Linked DNA regions of Macaca mulatta. The protein of the gene in region 2 interacts with the protein of the main gene of each other region in a pairwise test. Links are inferred from orthologs where the notes say so. Each region holds a gene or a part of one and is shown on either strand. Other genes may lie near its edges.

What was found. The genes of interacting proteins can lie anywhere in the genome.
Region 1: the proteins of KLC4 (region 2) and KATNAL1 interact in binary tests that used the Homo sapiens proteins (3 or more experiments, as listed by UniProt). The two-hybrid records come from large-scale screens. The link is inferred for Macaca mulatta from reciprocal best matches to the Homo sapiens genes KLC4 and KATNAL1.

The regions. Positions count from the first base shown.
Region 1 is NC_133422.1:10,105,074-10,110,840, forward strand, and holds part of KATNAL1 (katanin p60 ATPase-containing subunit A-like 1), read right to left. Parts: intron 4,886-5,767; coding exon 4,758-4,885; intron 4,367-4,757; coding exon 4,261-4,366; intron 1-4,260. UniProt on the Homo sapiens protein: Regulates microtubule dynamics in Sertoli cells, a process that is essential for spermiogenesis and male fertility. Severs microtubules in an ATP-dependent manner, promoting rapid reorganization of cellular microtubule arrays.
Region 2 is NC_133409.1:139,052,562-139,058,007, reverse strand, and holds the end of KLC4 (kinesin light chain 4), read left to right. Parts: intron 1-134; coding exon 135-234; intron 235-426; coding exon 427-479; intron 480-711; coding exon 712-782; intron 783-1,003; coding exon 1,004-1,112; intron 1,113-1,596; exon of another isoform or gene 1,597-1,679; coding exon 1,680-1,820; intron 1,821-2,051; exon of another isoform or gene 2,052-2,078; coding exon 2,079-2,194; intron 2,195-2,854; coding exon 2,855-2,918; intron 2,919-3,570; coding exon 3,571-3,621; 3' UTR 3,622-4,043; downstream 4,044-5,446.

The DNA of each region.
Region 1 (5,767 bases), on a different chromosome or scaffold from region 2:
CCAGCCTCCTGATGAGATTACTTTTTCATGTCCATCTATGTCCATCCCCAACCTATCCTCCATACTGCTACAGAAACGATATCTTCCTACACTTGCAAATACCCTTCTACTAAAAACTCTTCAGTGGCTCACTGACATCTTTGGCATGGCATGCAGGGCTCTTCGTGAGAAGTAGGTCACACCAACCACTCCAGCAGTGTCTTTTGTTACTATGTCCCATATAAACACTCTATCCTTCCAGCCACACTGAACTACAGAAGATTCCTCACATATACTATGTTCTCTTACACTTTTCATGTGTTTGTACATGATATCCACTCTGCCTTAGAGCCTTTCTTCATCACATCTACCTGTTTAACTTCTATTCATCTTTCAAGTCTCAGCTCAGAGTCACCTGCTCTGGGAGGCCATCCCTGATATTATTCTCCACAGCAGACTAAGTCCCTCCTCCTCTCTCCTGCCATAGCAGTGAGTTCATTACTCTTTCAGACACTAGTCACACTGTCCTCAACAAATACTGCACTTAACACATGGCCTCCATTAAACACATGCTTATTCACCCAAAGACCATGAGCTTCTTGGGGGCTATTATTATTCACTCATTTTGGTATCCTCCGCACTTAGCCTATCACGTGACACAAGGTAAATACTCAATAAATATGTATTTACCCAGTGTAAATGTATCCAATGCTTACTAAGTACTAGGCCCTGAGGAAAAAAAATTGAATCTATCAGGAATCACACATAAATCCTCAAGAGACTTTTAATCTATTAGAAAATATAGATAGATAAATTATGACGCAGTCTAAGAAGTGCTAAGATAGGCTGGATGATAAATGGATAGATGGCTAGAGTCTCAATGTAAGAGTGATTCAAGCATATGTTTATACTTCAGCCACTGAAAATACAGTAGTCTATTTCTTGGGCATCTCCTTATTTTCTAAGTAAAATTTTAAATGTTGCCTTTATAAAAATCATATAATCTGATCTTAAAACTTATAAAGAAGGACCTCGCTATTATTCTGTTACAGAAAAGTTCATCCCAGAGATACATATTTTTGAAAAGGCACTTAATATCTCCGTCTTTAACTTCTCTCACAAGCTTCAGCCCTGTATTTCTTTTTTTTTTTTTTTTTTTTTTGAGACAGAGTCTCGCTCTGTCCCCCAGGCTGGAGTGCAGTGGCGCAATCTCAGCTCACTGCAAGCTCCACCTCCTGGGTTCACACCATTCTCCTGCCTCGGCCTCCTGAGTAGCTGGGACTACAGGCGCCCGCCACCACATCCGGCTAATTTTTTATTTTTAGTAGAGACGGGGTTTCACCGTGTTAGCCAGGATGGTCTCGATCTCCTGACCTCGTGATCCGCCTGCCTCAGCCTCCCAAAGTGCTGGAATTACAGGCGTGAGCCACCGTGCCCGGCCGGCCCTGTATTTCTAACTTGGTGCATTTCCACGTTAATATACCAAAATTTAAAACTCAAAAATAATTCCATATCTTTTCCCCCAGAAGCACCCCCTGCTCCTACTGAACTTTCAACATCAAGAACAATAAACCAGCGTCTTTCTCCTTCCTGAGCTCCACATTTATGTTATCATCACTATTCTGCCACAGACAAAACCCAATTATCTTTACCCCTGCCTTCTTCTTGACATATATATTACATCCAAAAGGTTACCAACTTCCTTCAGTAAATATCACTAGCATCTGTCCTTCCATTCCTAATTCATAATCACCATCCTAATTCAGGCTCTTTGAATTTTAAGCCTAAACTACTGCCAATCACTTCTGAACATGCTCTTTGCCTCCCATCTTTCTGTGTTCATTGCAACCAGACTGTTTTTTCCAACTCACCAGTTTAATTATGCTACCTACCTGCTCAAAGACGTCTCCCAAACATCTACAGAAAAAGAATAGAACTCCTGGGAAATAGTCTGGCCTCAACCTACCTTCCCATTGGAATCTTCCACTAATTTATGTTTTCAACATTTACATAATTCTACGGCCTCATTAACTCATTTTAACCTCACTATATCCTATGAGATAACTATTAGTATTCCCATTTTATAGATAAGGAAAGTGAGGCATGGAGAAGTTCCATAACTTGCTCAAGATCACAGAATAAGTGGAAATGGTTAGAATTCGTATGCACCCAGTCTGGATCCAGGATCTGTGCCCCTTACCAATATTCTATGCTGCCTTCCTTACAAAACGTCAACGCATCTATTCCCAAACACACTTACACTTTCTCACTATATTCCACTGCTCACATCATTCATCCCCCTCAAGTTCCTACATCTCCAAAATGTCTCCTCCAACACAGTGAAATCCTCACAACCCTACAAATTGCAGCTTGAATCCCACGTCCTCAAGCATAAAGCCTTCTCTAATCATGTCATGTTTGTGCTTTGCTGAGCTTTCCAAGCACATGTGGACTGTACCACCCATTAGGCTCTGCTAGTGCCTAATGCTGAAAGCGATCTGTAACTGCCCAACTCTCTGTTTAGGATGTCTCACAGCTCAGGGACTCTGTCTTGAGAAACAAGGAACCTTACATATAACAGGGCTAAGTAAATGCCTGAAGAATAAAGGAATGGTATCACACAATGCAGACGTGTGCTATGGAGGGAAAGGCACATATAAACATAGGAAGCTGAGACACATTGAATTTTAAATTTTCTAAAGGTCTATTATGGTTGTCACAACCTATTTGGACTTCAATTTTCTAGTCTGTCAAATAATGGGGATTTAAGATGATCTCAAAGACTCATTCCAATTCTGAAATTCTGGAATTTACGTTTTGAGACAAATTTTATAAACCTGAAAAATTTCTAAGGTCTCCTTATTTTCATGTATTCTTTAAAATACATTTATCAGGCTTGAAACAGTGGCTCATGCTTGTAATCTCAGGACTTTGGGAGGTCAAGGTGGGCGGATCACTTGAGGCCAGGAGTTCAAGACCAGCCTGGCCAACATGGCAAAATCCAGCCTCTACCAAAAATACAAAATTTAGCTGGGCGTGGTGGCACGCACCTGTAATTGCAGCCACTCCGGAGGCTGAGGCACAAGAATCACTTGAACTTAGGAGGCAGAGGTTGCAGTGAGCCAAGATCATGCCACTGCACACCAGCCTGGGCAACAGAGTAAGACTCAGTCTCAAAAACTAAATAAATTTATTGTCCCATTTTAGTAAATAATCCATTCTCACAAATCCCTAAAAAATTCAAACACGATTTTTAAAAAAATAATAATAGTTCTAGTCAAGAATTTTATTCTACTGTTGCAGAAAAAAAATTATTTGGTCAGGAAAAAGATTCTTTAGAAATATATCTTATTTTCTTAAGCCAGTTTGCCAATAAATACTACAAAAGCACAGCAAGGACAAAATAAATTCATAAAGTCAGATATTCTGTAATGATATAAGAAGTGGTTTTTTTTGTTTGTTTGTTTGTTTGTTTTTTTGAGACGGAGCCTGGCTCTGTTGCCAGGCTGCAGTGCAGTTGCACGATCTTGGCTCACTGCAACCTCCGATTCACGGCTTCAAACAATTCTCCTGCCTCAGCCTCCCCGAGTAGCTGGGATTACAGGCACGCACCACCATGCCCAGATAATTTTTGTATTTTCAGTACAGATGAGATCTCACCATGTTGGGCAGGATGGTCTCGATCTCCTGACCTCGTGATCCACCCTCCTCAGCCTCCCAAAGTGCTGGGATTACAGGGGTGAGCCATGGTACCCGGTCAAGAAGTTGTTTTTTAAAACACAGCTAAAGACCTCTCTTTAGAAAAAACATTTGTGAAAACTCAAAATATAGCAAATGTAGTCTATAAAACAGTCAACAATGAGCTTCAAGTCAGTGACAAGTAAAACAAAATAACCATCAATGAGAAATATTCCAACTTTTGAAAAATAACTGTTTGATCATACCTTTATTCTATAAGACTATGCATTATTTCTGCTTAATCTGCTTAACTTTTTATTTACAGAACCATATACCTAGAAAATTCTTAAAACTAATCTCTAGCTCAGCATCCCTGAGGGAAGTGACCTAAAGACTATATAGTTTCAACACTCCAAGCCCATCTCTCCTACTATGCAGATGTAACACATCACAATACAAATTCAAATCCAGGTGTTTTGGGTGTATATAAACTTCTCCCAACCTTTTCAAAATGGGTTAAATACATCAAAAATACAGCAATGCTGCCTTTCATTCTGATGCAAGCAGCATTCTTATACCAAAACCAATTTAAAAAATTCTCACCTTCCATGGCCTTCTAATCCCTTTGAAAAAGTCAGGCATCCACATTGGAAGAACAACAGCTTCCCTTAGCAACTTCTTAGCTTCTTCCAGATCTGCTATGTCATCCCTTTGAAAGAAGAGCAAAGTTTCATAATGTTTATTCAGGGATCTTTGATTTATGGTCAAACCTAATTCTTCTAATTTTTTTTACTTATGAAATTGTTCTCATATTAAGAACATTAGTCTAATTCTTACTGCATAAAAACATCAGTGAAAACATTAGTTATTAATGAGGACATGTCACTGAATTAACAACTTTTGTCAGTTATATATCAACTTCAAATTAACATGTAAAATGTCCTGGTTACATTCGACAGAACTCTCCCGTCAATTCTATACTTTCACATTACAGAGGTGGTCATAATCAGATTAATGAATAACAAGAGAAAACTCACACCAAGCCAACCTATAACTTGTGTTCTCCTCTACTTTAATTCAATAATTTCAAAGACTCTAACCAATGAATGCTAGGATTCCTGGATACAATGTCTCTTTCAAGGGCTTCCACCAGGTCCTTATCATAACCAGCACCATCAAATTTTGGCATTTCACCATCACTTGCACCGTCTTGCATATTCTTCCTTCCCTGGGGATAGGTATAAAAAAAAGTACTAGTCAGTAACTGGATAATTTAGTTAACATCATTACGCTTTGAAAACATTATAATGCCATCACTTTCAAAATTTTATTATTTTAAGGTAGTATTTTCTGATTACTCAAATGCCATTCTCCTCTATTTAATTCATCAGAAATACATGAACTGGTCAACTTTATTAAAAACTTCAAATCTACATTCTTGCAGGGACAGTTGCAGGTAAGACTAAACATCCTTGCTAGATCCCAAAAGACTGGGAAAGCCTACCTTTGAACTAGTAGATGCAGAAGATTTCCACCACTACTAGAAAACATTTTGAATATTAATGTAGAAGGATCTTTTTAAATGGTATTAAGACCATTAAAGCAATATGCTTTCCCCAAATTCTTCATTTAATAATATAGTTGTTTTAAAAGGAACTATATGCTATGCTTTCTATGGGGTTCTGCCAAGATTTACACAGCTTTGAAAAGCTTTAAATGAAATTTACTTATTTGCCAGAGACAGTCCAACTATGGAAATACTTCAGCAAGCATAGCCAAGTGCCTCCCCAGAGCTTTAGCCCCAGTTACTGCCTACAGTAAAAATGAAACAAGAAAATGGCCAAAATGAGTCAATCTCCTAAACTTCAACCTCAAAAGAGACAAAAGAACAAGACAAACTTCTCTAATCTCACTTCTGAAACAGTCAAAAAAGGCTCAATCATAAGTGCTGGGAGGAAACTAAATGGCTCCTTTGGATAGATGCTCTGGTTCCTTTAAGCCACTAGGTAAGTGACCAAACGGTATTCTGGTACTTCACCCAAAAAAAACACAAATTATTTCTGGGCAGTATGGCAGTAGTATTACATTTATTAGCAAATTTTCAGGAAGA
Region 2 (5,446 bases):
CAGAGACACCGAGAAGTGGAACTCCCTGAGCCTGGTGAAGACGTTGTCTGGAAAAAAAAAAGAAAAAAAGAAAAAAAAAAGACCTTGCCTCCCTCCATGTTTTGTTCCTGTATTTTTGCCTTTCTGTCTTCTAGGCTTCCTGTTACCTGAAACAGGGCAAATATGCTGAGGCTGAGACACTATACAAAGAGATCCTGACCCGTGCCCATGTGCAGGAGTTTGGGTCTGTGGATGGTGAGTGGTGAGGGCTTGGGGAAGGGGCTGTGGGAAAGAAAAGAAATGCAGACCAAAGGTCGGGGGTTAGGCCACAGTGGTTCCCAGGGGGAGCCAGACCCCTTCAGTCCAGCCTGTCAGCCTCTGGGTCCTGGCTCTCCGACACTGTCTAGCTCCGATCTCTAACCTCCCCACCCCGTGTATCACCCCCAGATGACCACAAGCCCATCTGGATGCATGCAGAGGAGCGGGAGGAAATGAGCAAAGTGAGTGGGGGGAAGGGGGGCCAGCCTGGGGAGCTCAAGGCTACCAGGGTCTCTGTCTTACTCCTTCCATTAGCCCAACTCACACTTCCCACCCCAGCACCAGCCCCAGATGCATGGTGTCCTCCCCAGCCCAGCCTGCACCCTAGCCCCATGCCACCGTGCATCCCAGCATCTCTGTATTCTTATCTTTGGCTCTCCCTGCCCTTCTCTCTGGCCTCTCTCTGTCCTGCAGAGCCGGCACCATGAGGGTGGCACACCCTATGCTGAGTATGGAGGCTGGTACAAGGCCTGCAAAGTGAGCAGGTGAGCTGCCAGTGAAAAGCCAGCTTGGCCTCTGATGCCCTCCATCCAGGCTCCCGGCCTCCCAGACCTTTTCCCTTCCTCCCGTAGACTTTCCCTGAGCTTTAGCTCTGTTCCCTCTCCTATTTTCTTATTTTTTTTTTCCTCTTGTCTTGCTTGGAAGACAAATGTTTTCTTTTCTGAACCCATTCTCTCTTCCTTCTCTGGTCTGTTTCTCACCACAGCCCCACCGTGAACACTACTCTGAGAAACCTGGGAGCTCTGTATAGGCGCCAGGGAAAGCTGGAGGCTGCTGAGACCCTGGAGGAATGTGCCCAGCGGTCCCGGAGACAGGTCAGAAGCCCAGAGGGGAAGGAGGTCCTTGAGGGAAGGGCCCTGGGGATGAGAGACTGCTGAGGTTTCTTGGGAGTCTCCTAAGAATAAGCGGAAAGGCTGATGAGGCCAGGAGGGAGAGGAAAGTGAGGCAGTGTTGTGATTGTGGTTGTTTTTAAGCGTGTTCTTACCCCCTACCTGCACTTTGTGGTCAGGACTCTAATTTCAAGATTCACTAAATGGGGATATGAAGGAGAAACCCTGCCCTTTCATAAGGAGGGGCCTGGGTGGTGTGGGTGAGAGGAGTGAGGTGGGGGAGAGCCTAAGTCAAGAATTTCTCAGATTGTGGGTCTCAATAGTAGGTTGTGAAATCAATTCAGTGTGGGCTATGGGGCTAAAAATATATACAGATCTATATATAGCAATGCATTGCAAATAGAAAAGGTGAGTATTGTTCCAGTAGGCATATACTGAGACATCACAAGGAAAAATGTTTTCCTTGCAGTGGCTGATGGTGAAAAAAATTTGAAAGCCCCATCCTGAGGAGTTAAGGAGTGGGAAGTCCCAGGTCCTTCCTTTTCCTTCCAGGGCACTGACCCTATCAGTCAGACCAAGGTGGCAGAGCTGCTTGGGGAGAGTGATGGTAGAAGGACGTCCCAGGAGGGCCCTGGGGACAGTGTGAAATTCGAGGGAGGTGAAGATGCTTCTGTGGCTGTGGAATGGTCTGGGGTAAGTCTGATCACTGCCTTTTCATCTCTCCTGCCCACTCCTGCTGGTGGTGGTGAGAGGCTCTTGGCTATGCTGTCCCAGTCTAGGTAGTGTATCCCTTCAGGGGTATCTCTGGGAGCAAGCTTTTGACCCGACTTTTATTTTCAGTCACTGGGCCTTGGGGGTGGGGGATGTGTGCAGAATAAATGCTGGGACTAGACTCAGAAACCCATCTGTGTGGGATCCCTGTAGCTTTCATAGCTCACCCCTTTCTGCCAGGATGGCAGTGGGACCCTGCAGAGGAGTGGCTCTCTGGGCAAGATCCGGGATGTGCTCCGCAGAAGCAGTGAAATCCTGGTGAGGAAGCTCCAGGGGACTGAGCCTCGGCCTTCCAGGTACACATGGAAGTCAAGATATGGTAAAGTGGCTGGGTGCTGTGGCTCAAGCCTGTAATCCCAGCACTTTGGGAGGCCGAGGCGGGTGGATCACCGGAGGTCAGGAGTTCGAGACCAGCCTGGCCAACAAGGTGAAACCTCATCTCTCCTGAAAATACAAAAATTAGCCGGGCGTGCTGGTGGGTGCCTGTAATCTCAGCTACTTGGGAGGCTGAGGCAGAACAATTGCTGGAACCTGGGAGGTGGCGGTTGCAGTGAGCTGAGATCATGCCATTGTACTCCATCCCAGGCGACAAAAGTGAAACTCTGTCTCAAAAAAAAGAAAAGAAAAAAAAAAAGATATGGTAAAGCAGGCAAGTAAAGTAAGCCCTTGCCTCCAACTCCTCTTGGCCCCTGATCTCTGGAGAGGTATCTTGGAGAGAAACAGGGAGGAAGTCAATGGGACAGCCATGGAGAGAGAGTTTGGGTAGAATGGGTGCCCCAACTTGGGGGATGAAGGTAGCTGAGATACTGGTTCCTGAGGCAGATAAGAAAAGTTGGGGGAGGGGATAGAGGGGAGGCAGTGATTTGATTTTGTGTGGCAGTGCTCAAGAGGCCCACAGCTTTAAGGCCACTCAGGAGGAAGAGAGGAGGCCTCATTTCTTCCATTTTCCATTGCAGCAGCAACATGAAGCGAGCAGCCTCCTTGAACTATCTGAACCAACCTAGTGCAGCACCCCTCCAGGTGAGAGCAGTGCTTGTGAGCATATTGGTGGGTGATGAAAAAAGAACAGCCAGTGAGCAAGCCCAGTGGAGTAAGGGAAGTGGGGAGAGGAGTCATCTGGGATAATGATGAGCCAGGGGATTGCAGTTATTAAGGAATCAGGCAGATAGCTTGTGGTGAGTGATGACCACCAACGGACAGTTTCAGGCCAGACATAGTAGCAAATAAGTTAATAAGGAGGGAAATAGGAATATTCTTTAAACTGGTACTTTGGAATTATGAATAATTTAAGAATTATTTGTAGATACTCATTTTTTCATCCTGCGGCTACCTTCATAGTAGATGAGAATGGAAAAAGAAAAGCATTAAATAATCCCCATCTGAGAAAACAGTAATGATATTTTAATGGCAAATGACTTCTTATATGAACACACTCAGAGTATATGCCAGTATTCATGTGGTTCTTCCAGAGAGCTTCTCCACCAGATTGTGGCCTTCTGGAAAACCCTAGCAGAGGCTAAACAAAGTCCCAGGTCCAGAGATAGACTGGTCCAGAGATGGATGTGATCCTAGGTCCAGAGATACACTGTGGCCATTGGATGGATGGACTCCAGGAGACAGTCTTTGGGAGGCTGAGGTCCCTGAACTGATGAGGTAGTGTTGTCTGTTTCAGGTCTCCCGGGGCCTCAGTGCCAGCTCCATGGATCTCTCTTCAAGCAGCTGACATTCAACCCAGTCCCCAGGTCTGCTGGGTCCCCCTACCCCTATAGCCCTCACAGCATTCCCCATTGCTCCTGGCTCTTCCCCACCCCTAGGTGGGACAGTGAAGGGGAGCAGTTTAACCAGAAGATTGCTGCTGCCCTTAGGGTTTCAGCTCCCTCCTCAGGAATCCCTCTTAGGAAGGACCCTCAGGACACCCTCTCCGCACCCTGTGGTCCTCTAGAGTAGCTAGCTCTGAGGCCCCCAAGGTGGGTACAAAGCAGGTATGGCCCTCAGAGATGCAGCCTGCTGCTGGCTTTTCAGTCAGAGGGTTGAGGGCTGGCCAGCCAAGCTGCCTTGCCTTGGCCGCTCTTATTCCCTCCCTCTGCTGTCTCACTTCAGGTCCATGTATTTCACTTTTCTTAAATAAAAGAATCAGGTAACCTTTCTGCGACTTGAGTCCTGATTGAAGAGGGTATGAAGCAGGGCTTGTGTTGGGGCCCTTCACAGAGGGTGAGGTGCAGTGATGGATGGGGCAGCAGGAGGAGTGTTGATTCTTGGATCTCTCTTCTCTTCCTCCCCTTGTTTGTATCATCTCCAGCAGGGCCTGTAGGAAGGCATCTGGGGGATGGGGAAGAAGGAGGCCCACAACCCAAGGAAAAGGTGCTGTGGACTGGGTTGTCAGGGACATGTGGTGGCCATGTGGCAGGACCCTGGAGTCCTGGCGCCACTTCTCCTGGCTGTGAGGCCCTCTGTGGCTGCCATTCGTTCTCCCAGCTGCTTGGGGGAAGGGAGGACTAAGCAGGCCTGGGGGGCCCTCCGGAGCCAGAGGGGAGACAAGGCACTATCCATCCCCTCTCAGCATATCTTGGAGGCCTGAGCAGCAGCTGGGGCCCATCTTCTAAAGCTTGACTCCTCCTGACCCGCCTCCTACACCCCTTGCTGCTTTCACAACAAAGAAAGAATGTGGGGGTGGTGGCGCGGGGGGTGGGGGGTGCCTGGAACAAGGGTTGTGCTGGGCCTCCCCACAGCTGGAGACTTGGCCATACCCTGACACAGCCCAGACTGCCTGGAGATGGACTTGGGATGAATTTGTCAGTTTAGCAGCCTTCAGCCTGGCTTTCAGAACCCAGCGTGTTTCTACCTTTGGGTTCAGATTGGTCTAGAGCCAAACCAGACCCCAGTCATGCACCCTTCAGCCCCTCTCCGGGCTACACAGCATCTTCAGGTTACTCTGCTGGGGGACATTAAGGACACCGTGCTGTTCTGGGTCTGCCTGTAAGATTTTGGGTTGCTGAAGAGTGGGTGGGGCCCACCTCTTCCGCTGCCCCCACTTGGAGAATTCTGGGGGAACTGTTGGCCAGAGCCTCCAGGTATGCACAGAATGGGCCATTCTCCCCAGGGTCCACGGCATCTCACAAGTCACTTAGGTTCTCCCGGATCCCTGCAGAGTCAGTGGTAGGTACAACAAATACTCCCCTACCCCTCTCAGGTCCCCTGCGCTCTCCTGAGCCTTGCTCTCTCTGTTCTCCATCCCTCTCCAGACCCCTCCCCCTACTGAGCTCCTCCCCGTCTCGGCGAGGAGGGGGCGTCGAGGGGGCGGGGCGCCGTGCGGGGGCCGGAGGGGAGGGGGCGTCGTGGGGCGGGGCTTGGCGGCGGCAGCGGCGGCGGCGCGCGAGGACTCCGAGGTACCGGGCGCGCGCGGCTCCGGCTCGGGACGCCTCGGGGTCGGGCTCCGGCTGCGGCTGCTGCTGCGGCGCCCGCGCTCCGGTGCGCTCTGTCTTCTGTGCCCGCCGCGGAGCGCAGTCTGCGCACCCGCTGTGCGCCCTCAGCTCCTTTTCCCGAGCCGG